2 linked regions of the Sus scrofa genome follow. The protein of the gene in region 1 interacts with the protein of each later gene in a pairwise test. Links are inferred from orthologs where the notes say so. Each region holds a gene or a part of one and is shown on either strand. Other genes may lie near its edges.

Region 1 (4,400 bases):
TTGCTCATCTGCAAAGTGGTGCAGGTGCGCTAGGAAAGGTTTAAAGTAAGTGGCCTGGAAGGGATGAGCTGGGGTGGGACCGAGTGAAGAGGGTGTGACCAAGAGACAAGCCCAGGACACCAGTCAGACGGCCCGGCAGGACAGCTAAGGACGCCTGAGCAGATGACTCTTAGCTCAGAGCCAACTCAACCCCAAGGACTTCTGGCCGCCCTGCTTTGGGCGGGTGCCCGGCTCAGCTGCCAGGTAGGGCCTGCAGCCCCGCACCCACGCCTCGCTCCCAAACTAAAAATAGGAAAGACGGCCGGGGTTGACCCAGCATGGCCCTTGGAAGGCTTCCTCGTCGGAGATGAGTACTGCCACCGCCCCCCTGCCTGACCTGGGTCACCGCCCAGCTCCTGAGGGGGCTGCGCACACCCCAACCAGCGAAGGGGAGAGGGCGCGGCCGGGCCTCCCCTCCTCCTACAAGCCCCGGCTGGCGAGGGCACCGAGGCCCTGGGGACGCCAGGATGGACCCAGGATAGGACCCATCCAGACAGGACCCGAGCTCGGAGGCCAGCCCCAGCCCTTCACCAGTGGCCCTTTCCCGGCCGGAGAGCGCACCCAGGGAGGCCACGCCCCCACGCTCTGGCCGTACCTGCGTCGCGGCTTCGGCACACCTGCCGGCGGACACAGGGGGCCTGCTCGGGCCGCGCACCCCGGGGCCGTCCGGGAGTGGAACGTGAAAGACCCGGGAACCGAACGCGGAGGCCCGGGGGGCGGGCGCGTGCCCGGCGAGCAGACCGGCAGGCTCTGGCTCCAATCGGAGCGCTCGAAGCCTGCGCCCACGTGCCGCCCTGAGGCGCGCTCAGCCAATGGCGGCCGCGCGCTCCTCGGGGCGGGGCTTCCCGGCGCGCTGCTTCTTAAAGGGACAGGGCCGCGCTCCCAACCGCGACGGGGGAGAAGGCGAGCTTCCTTCTAGCTGGCACGCACCCTGCGGGCCTCTGGGTCTCTGTGGTCTGCTGCTGCCTTTCTCGTGAAGGGCACAGCGGCCTTGTCGCCTACTGGGGCTGCCATGTGCCAGCCAGGGGACGCCTCCCTCGGGGGACGAATGAGAACGTAACTGCACTCGGAGTCGCCTCCAAGCGCGGGCGCCGCGCCCCAGGGAGCGCTTCACGGGAGGCAGGCCCGCGGCTCTGGCTGAGGACCCTAGCATCCAACTCCCGCTGCCCCGTGCGCCCAGGCCTGGGTCCCGAGCCACCGGGGGCCCGGGAGCCAGCAAGCGCCGGCTGTTGAGCCTCGGGCGCCGAGGCCGAGTCCGGAGCAGAGGGCCCGGCGGCGGCGGCGGCAGGCCGAGGGGCGGGGCCGACGCGCGCCCCGCCCCGCCCCCGCGGCGCCCCGCCCCGCCCCGCCCAGCGCCGCCGGCCGCCCGCGCCCGCGCCCCGCAGCCTGCCGAGCTGCGCCGCCATGGAGGCCACCGGGGTGCTTCCGTTCGTGCGCGGCGTGGACCTCAGCGGCAACGACTTCAAGGTGAGCCCCCGGGCGGCGGCCGGGCCTCCCCCAGCCCGCCCCTCCGCTTCCTGCGGGCCCCGGACCCGCGGACCGGCTCGCTGGGCCTGGGCCCCGTCCCGAGCCGACCGCCGCGCCTCCGTCCCGCGCCCGCGGCGGGCACCCAGGCAGAACGCCGCGGGCGCGCGCGGAGAGCCCCCACCGGGCTCCGTCCAGGCGCCGGGCCCCACCCAGCCGGCCCGGGTCGGGAGCCTGTGCCCCCGCCTCCCCAGCCCTCCCTCCCCGCCCCTGTGAGGTCACACGCCCGAGCGGAGCCCTGACTCACGGCCGCGCCGCCGTCACTGCCCTGCCCCCTCCTGCCACCCCCATCCTGTGTGGTCTTGGGCAAGTCACTTCCCTTCTCCGAGCCTCGCTTTCTCATTCGAGGAAGGCACTTGAGATTAGTCTTCCGAAGGCAGGGATGCGTTTTCGTGGCGAGTGCGTCTGGCAGGTGTCGAGACCCAGGCGGCAGTTGTTTGAACAGCTGCTGAACTGAACAACCTGGGTCTCAAGGACCAGGCACTGGGGATGAGGGAGGCTGTTTTGGAGACCGGGAACCAGGCGGGCAGGGCTGGGCACCGGAGAGGAGGCGGGGCAGCAGCAGAGGCCAGAGTCAGCCTGGCTCCAAGAGGGTCATCTCCTCGGCAGGATGGGCCAGTGGGCAGACTCCGGCTGGGGTCAGTATAGTGTCAGCCCGGGTGTGCAGGGCCCAGCGGCCCAGGCTTTGGCTGGGACCCCGGGGTCGGGCCAGGGCTGAGGAGGCAGGCTTTTCTTCCTGCCTTGTTCCCTGTGTGCACCCTTGACCCTGTGCCCAGGCAGCCATACCACTTTCCTCTGCCTCCTGCCCACCATCCTGTCTGGGGGTCCCCACGTGTCCTGTACAGAGTGGGAGAGTCTGAGTCACCAGCTGGGAGTTGTAGCCGTAGGGGGAAGGGGACACCAGCCAAGGGCAGTGAAAGCACACACTGCCTAGGCCCCATGCCACAAGGGTGGGGGTACTGAGTGGGCATTTGGTTGTGGGAAGAGCTGCGAATGAGTGAACTAACCAACGGGGCTGAGGCTGGGCGACTGGCGGGGCTGGGGAGCTGTGTGCTGACGGCAGGGTGGGAGCACAGGTGGGACCTTGGAGAAGCTGAGGGGTACCCCTAACCCAGGTGCCACAGCAGGTTCGGGATGCCAGGCAAAGGCATGGAGCCCATCTAAGCACATAGTTGGGAGTGGCTGTGTCATCTGGAACAAGGCTTCCTGGGGCTGAGGTTCCAACAAGAGAGACGGGTCTCAGGGCAGCAGGTGTCTTGGATGTTAATTGGTGGTCATGACGCTTTTCCCCAGTGGGGGGGGTTTATGAATCCTGTGGGTGGGAAATTAAAGCACAGGGTGGCAAAGTGACTTGTCCAGGGTCACACAACCAGTCAGAGATGACTTTTGCTCCACAAGAGCCCCCATGGGCAGTGGAGGCCACAGGGGGTGGTAGAGCAGGGGCACCCCGTTTCCGGACCAGCGTCATCATGACGTACCACCTAGGGTGGCTACTTCCCTGAGAATGTCAAGGCCATGACCAGTCTGCGATGGCTGAAGCTCAACCGCACTGGCCTGTGCTACCTGCCGGAGGAGTTGGCCGCCCTGCAGAAGCTGGTAGGAATCTCTGGGCCAGCAGGGAGGGTCCCTGTGGATGGGGCTGGCCGGGCGGGCAGAGCCTGGGCGGACGACGCAGAGGATGCCAACGGCCATAGGCAGGGCTAGTGGGGAGGGAGTGAGCATCCCGTCCCCAGAGGAGTGCAAGAAGAGTCTGGGTCTGGGAGGGAGGGAGGCTACAGCGTGGACTGGGCCCCTGTGGCCATGGGGGGGTGGGTCTTGGGGCAGGGAGGGACACAGGGACAGCCCGCACACCCTGCTGAACCTCTGCTCCCCTGTCCCTGCCCAGGAGCACCTGTCAGTAAGCCACAACCACCTGACCACGCTTCACGGGGATCTGTCTAGCCTGCCATCGCTGCGGGTGAGTGCTGCCCTAGGGCGGGGGTGAGGGCAGGACCAGCGCCTCCGTCCACCCCGCGTCAGGCTCAGGGACCCTCTCCTGAAGTGGGGGAAAGGAGGCTTCCTTGGGTTAAGTAACCCGTGAGGGAAAAGGTAAAAATTCAAAATGCCACCTGTTGTAAACAACTACGTAACAGCTGATGCTGATTAAGCCCCTTGCCACCCCTCCCAGAAGGGCTTTTTCACACAATCCCCGCGCCCAGCAAGTTCACAGCTGAGGATGCTTGGCCATGGAGGCAGGTCCCTGGCCCAGGATCAGCCCGCCAGGCAGTGGGAGAGCTGGGCAGGCTGGGGTTGGGCTGGGAGGGGAGGTGCTCATGATGGCTCAAGTGAGCTGCCCTTAATCTGGGCTGTCCCGGTTCGCATCTGCGTTCTGTCTCTTCTCGGCTAGGTGGCCTTGGACAGGTCCCTGCCGCTTTTCGAGGTGGTCCAGTGGTGACTGCTGAGTGGCCCCGCATGGGCTTTAGGGCGGGGCGGGCAGCAGCGGTGGCCGCTCTTACTCCTCCTGTCACTTGAGTCCTGATCCTGGTCCCCCCCGCTCAGCCATCCTGCACTGACCTCATGTCTGAAGCGTGAGGCGGTTGCAGGTCTGAGAGGAGAGGAAAGCAGACGTGCTCCCAGGCTGCGCTCTGACCGGGTTTGGGTCGAGTCCTCCCATTTGGTACCAGAGCCCCGACTCAGAGCTGCATCCCTCTCTTGCTCTTTGGAGTTGGGAGGAAGAGGGGCTTTCCCATCAGAAAAGTTCCCTGAGGTGCCCTGTGCTGGGCTCTGGGGTACATTTGGGTTGGGTTTTGAGGTGTGAATAGGAGCTTATTCGTAGGCTAGGAAGGGCTCGCCAAGCC
Region 2 (3,799 bases), on another chromosome or scaffold:
TGACCTCTTGGGATCCCCTGGCCGGTGTGGCCTGGGCTTTTTCTCAAAGGGGTTCGAGGGAGCTGTAGGGTGGCAGGTCCTGCACCCCTGCATCCCCACCTGAGGGTCCCCAGGGAGATGTCAGACCCCCTCCTCCGTAAGGAAAGAGGAGGCAGCCCACCTGTGCTTGGGAGTGATGAGCAGGGAGAAGGGAACCCACTGAATGAGGTGATGGCCGTGATGCCCAACGGCTCCCCGAATACAGCGACCTCACACCACACGGCCCCGGTAGAGATCTCTAGACGCTGGCGCAACCTTCCACGCCTTTGCCTCGCGAAGCTGCACCCCGCCTTCGCTCTGATGTGCTCGCTGACACTTGTTCGGGGCTCTGTGTGCCTGTCTGTGCGTGTGTGTTTGCTTCAGGACCACTCTTTATCCGTGACAGCAGAGACGGAGGATCAGTTACAGAAATAGTCCAAGTTACTAAAAGAATTGTCCCTGGGGGCTATCGAGCATTTCTTCTTCTTCTTTCCCCCTCATTTAAATGGGTGCACTGCTTCTGTTGGTTCTCTCTGCTGTGCCCCTGCCAACGAGGCCAGGAGGAGATGTGGGACGGGGCGTCCGTGCCTCCGGGATGCTGATGTCCTGGAGGGCACGCGCAGCGCTGTTGCTCGGCGGCCTGAGTTGAGAGCGCGCTTGGTGCTTGCACGGTGTGTGTGTCTTCAAGCCCTTTGCCTGGAATGTGCCTTGACGCTTAGTGTGTTGCATGGTAGGAGCCTCCTTCTCGGTCCTGCTTCGGATGTCATCCGCTCACCTGTGTGAATCTTCTCTCTCTCTGCTCTGTACACACTCAGGCGTTAGAGAGGCAGAAAGAGTTCTTTGATTCCATAAGGAGCGAACGAGACGATCTTAGAGAAGAAGTAGTCGTGCTAAAAGAGGAATTAAAGGTATGGAGCCGAAGTCCAGGAGAGACGACAGCCACCCCAGGACTCTCAAGGACGACTGTGTGTCGTGATGTCCCTTAATCTCAGGCTGTGGATGTTTGCCTGTTAGTAAAATCTGACCGCAGCTTCACTGACCCCACGAGAACTGCGGCGTCCGTGTGGATTCTGTGGGTTCGCCCATATTGCTTTTAGATGCTTACAAGCACATAGGATCTTGGCAGCAACTCTGATTTCTAAGAGTTTTTCCGATAGGCCGTCTAAATTTGTCCTCGGTGTAGTTCTCCAGGACTGTAAGGAAGTTCCACATCCTGCGGGGCCTTGTTATGGGGTCTCCAGCTGCTGGCCAGACGAGTAAGATAAACTAGCGGGCAGCACTGGGGGTCAGAGCTCTGGGCGAACTCCCCGCGCTGAGCCTGGATGGTGTGGCTGCCAGCAGAAACCTCACTGTCAGCTGCTCATAGGGAAGGGTCAAGGCCAGAGCCTCCGGCCAGCAGGGAACAGGCTTTCAGGGCCAGGGAGTTCCTCCAAGCCCAGGAGAAAGAGCAGGGGGGACGAGGGGGAGGGAGGGATCCGTGGGGAGGGGGGCCTCCTGGCCTTGCGAAGTGTAGCCGTGTTTCAAGTGCTTTGCGGAGGTCCTGTTGTGGCTCAGTGGTCAACGAACCCGACTGGTGTCCATGAGGACACGGGTTCGATCCCTGGCCTCGCTCAGTGGGTTAAGGATCGGGCGTGGCTGTGACTGTGGTGTAGGCCGGCAGCTGCAGCTCCGATTGGACCCCTAGCCTGGGAACCTCCACATGCCGCAGGTGTGGCCCAAGAAAGACCAAAAAATAAATAAATAAAAAAGTGCATTGTCGCATAGTGAGCAGGAGTTAGACGTCTTTCGAATGCCGCCAACCTTCTAGCCGCCAGGGTTCGTTCATTCTCTTCCGAACACGTACGTGCTCCTGTCTTTGTCTGTCCTGACCAAGAACACAAGCAGGGTTCTAGAAGTAAGGTCACTTGACAGGGCTTTGCCTGACCCTCCGCTTCGTGGCGGCCTGCAGGCCACCACGTCTAGGTCAAAAGGATGCGCATTGAACGGGTCTCGTCACCAGCACGTTCGGACGTGGATGGGAAGGCGTGAGGCAGGAGTGCCCCTGGAGGAAGCCAGCCCACATCCCTGAGCGTGGATGGCCTGTTGACAGGGGTGTGCCCAGCCGCTCCGTCTGCGTCTCTCCCTGCTTAGGGAAACACAGGGGTTTTATTCGTTCTTACTTATAAAACGCAGCTTAACCTAGAATCACTCGGTGAGTATTACGACGAGCCTGTTTTTATTCCCAGAAACACGGGATAATACTCAATTCAGAAACAGCCACCAATGGCGAGACCTCAGACCCTCTCAGCCGTGTGGAACACCCAGGGTCTACGAAGATGACGAAGGAGGAGGTCGGCGCTCCCCAGGCCCCCGGGGACGGGACGCTAGGTAAGTGCTGGCCTTGCTGTGAGCCATTCGTCTTCCGGTCAGCCCTGATGCACCCTCCATGCTCTGTTAGAATGGACAGAATCATCACTGACCGATTAACCGCCACCCAGCATGCCCTTCGTCCTGTCACTCCGTGGGCGCTTCCTTGCCCAACGATGCAGTCACCCACGTGTGTTGTCTGGCGTGTCCCTTTGTTCATGCTCACCACCAGCGGCTTGAGAGTTCGTGTCTTTTGCTCCTCAAAGCTCCCAGGGAGGCTGCGCGTGCGAGGAAGATAATCTCGGAATTAAGCGAGCGAGAGCATTCTCTGGGTTTTCCTCAGATAGGTAGGTGGCAGGTAGGGCTTTTCGCCTTACAGAATTGCCAAACGATCAGAGCAGCAGAGGCTGTAAAGTGAGTTGGTTGACCACGTGGGCGAGCCTGCACTGCCCATCCTGTGCACCGTGAAGCATTTTGAGCACGTGAGGTGCCCACGGACAGCAGGTGGACAGAGCCCTGGGTGGCGCCCAGCGAGAAGGGCTCTCCTCACCAGCAAGAACCTGACTATGTCTGCCCCTTCATCAGGGGGCGATGTTCCTTTGCATGTCATGTTTGGGCTTCTGCAAGACTATAAATTGCAGGACCTGATAGATTGTAGGAATATTTCATACAACCTTCAAATATCTGAAAAGATTCACCAGTGAATGTTTGTCATGGTGCTTGGCTTTGGGATAAACCTTCAGAATCTGGTGGGCAGCCTGAAGTTGTAGCCGCACATAAGGCCTTGCCGGTCAGTGGTGACCAGCTGTGTGCCGGCTTTTCACGGTGAGGCTGGAATAAGGTCAGGGACCATGGCTTTGGTTTCCATTTGGAAAGTTCTTCATGAAAATGAAGAAACCTATAAGCCCCAGCTCCCCAGGAAGCTGCCTCATTGTCTTGATGACTCTTAAAGAAACACAGCTCTTCTCACTGTGTAAAAGTCACCGAAAGTAAATTAAGGAAGGTCCATCCTCCCTTTGTGTCAGCTGCCTGAGCAGCTGGAATTTGACTGGCGGCTCTTGTTCAAATACACATTTTAAATCCTTGATAGCCGTTGTGTCATGAACACTTAGGCAACTAGAAACATCTGTTTTGCAAGTGGTTGCCACCTGTATTCCATCACCTGTCCCTCTCAGTAAGCGATTATGGGAACTTCCCAATATCTGTGTTTATTTTATTTTATTTTATTTTTATGGCCACACCCATGGGATATGAAAGTTCCGGGCTAGGGATCAAACCTATGCTTCCGCAGCGACCACAGCCACTGCAGTTGGATTCTTAACCCGCTGTGCCAGGGTGGGAATGCTTACATGTTTATTATTTATTTATACATGTGTAACATTTAATTAATATAAAATCTACATTATAAAACATATGCGATACTAGACATTTTTAA

Evidence for each region.
Region 2: the proteins of FLII (region 1) and LRRFIP1 interact in binary tests that used the Homo sapiens proteins (3 or more experiments, as listed by UniProt). The link is inferred for Sus scrofa from reciprocal best matches to the Homo sapiens genes FLII and LRRFIP1.

The regions. Positions count from the first base shown.
Region 1 is NC_010454.4:60,474,344-60,478,743, forward strand, and holds the start of FLII (protein flightless-1 homolog), read left to right. Parts: upstream 1-1,378; 5' UTR 1,379-1,443; coding exon 1,444-1,506; intron 1,507-3,048; coding exon 3,049-3,159; intron 3,160-3,448; coding exon 3,449-3,520; intron 3,521-4,400. Other genes in the region: MIEF2 (mitochondrial dynamics protein MID49), read right to left, coding at 970-1,192. UniProt on the Homo sapiens protein: Is a regulator of actin polymerization, required for proper myofibril organization and regulation of the length of sarcomeric thin filaments. It also plays a role in the assembly of cardiomyocyte cell adhesion complexes.
Region 2 is NC_010457.5:137,419,149-137,422,947, forward strand, and holds part of LRRFIP1 (leucine-rich repeat flightless-interacting protein 1), read left to right. Parts: intron 1-833; coding exon 834-926; intron 927-2,243; coding exon 2,244-2,385; intron 2,386-3,799.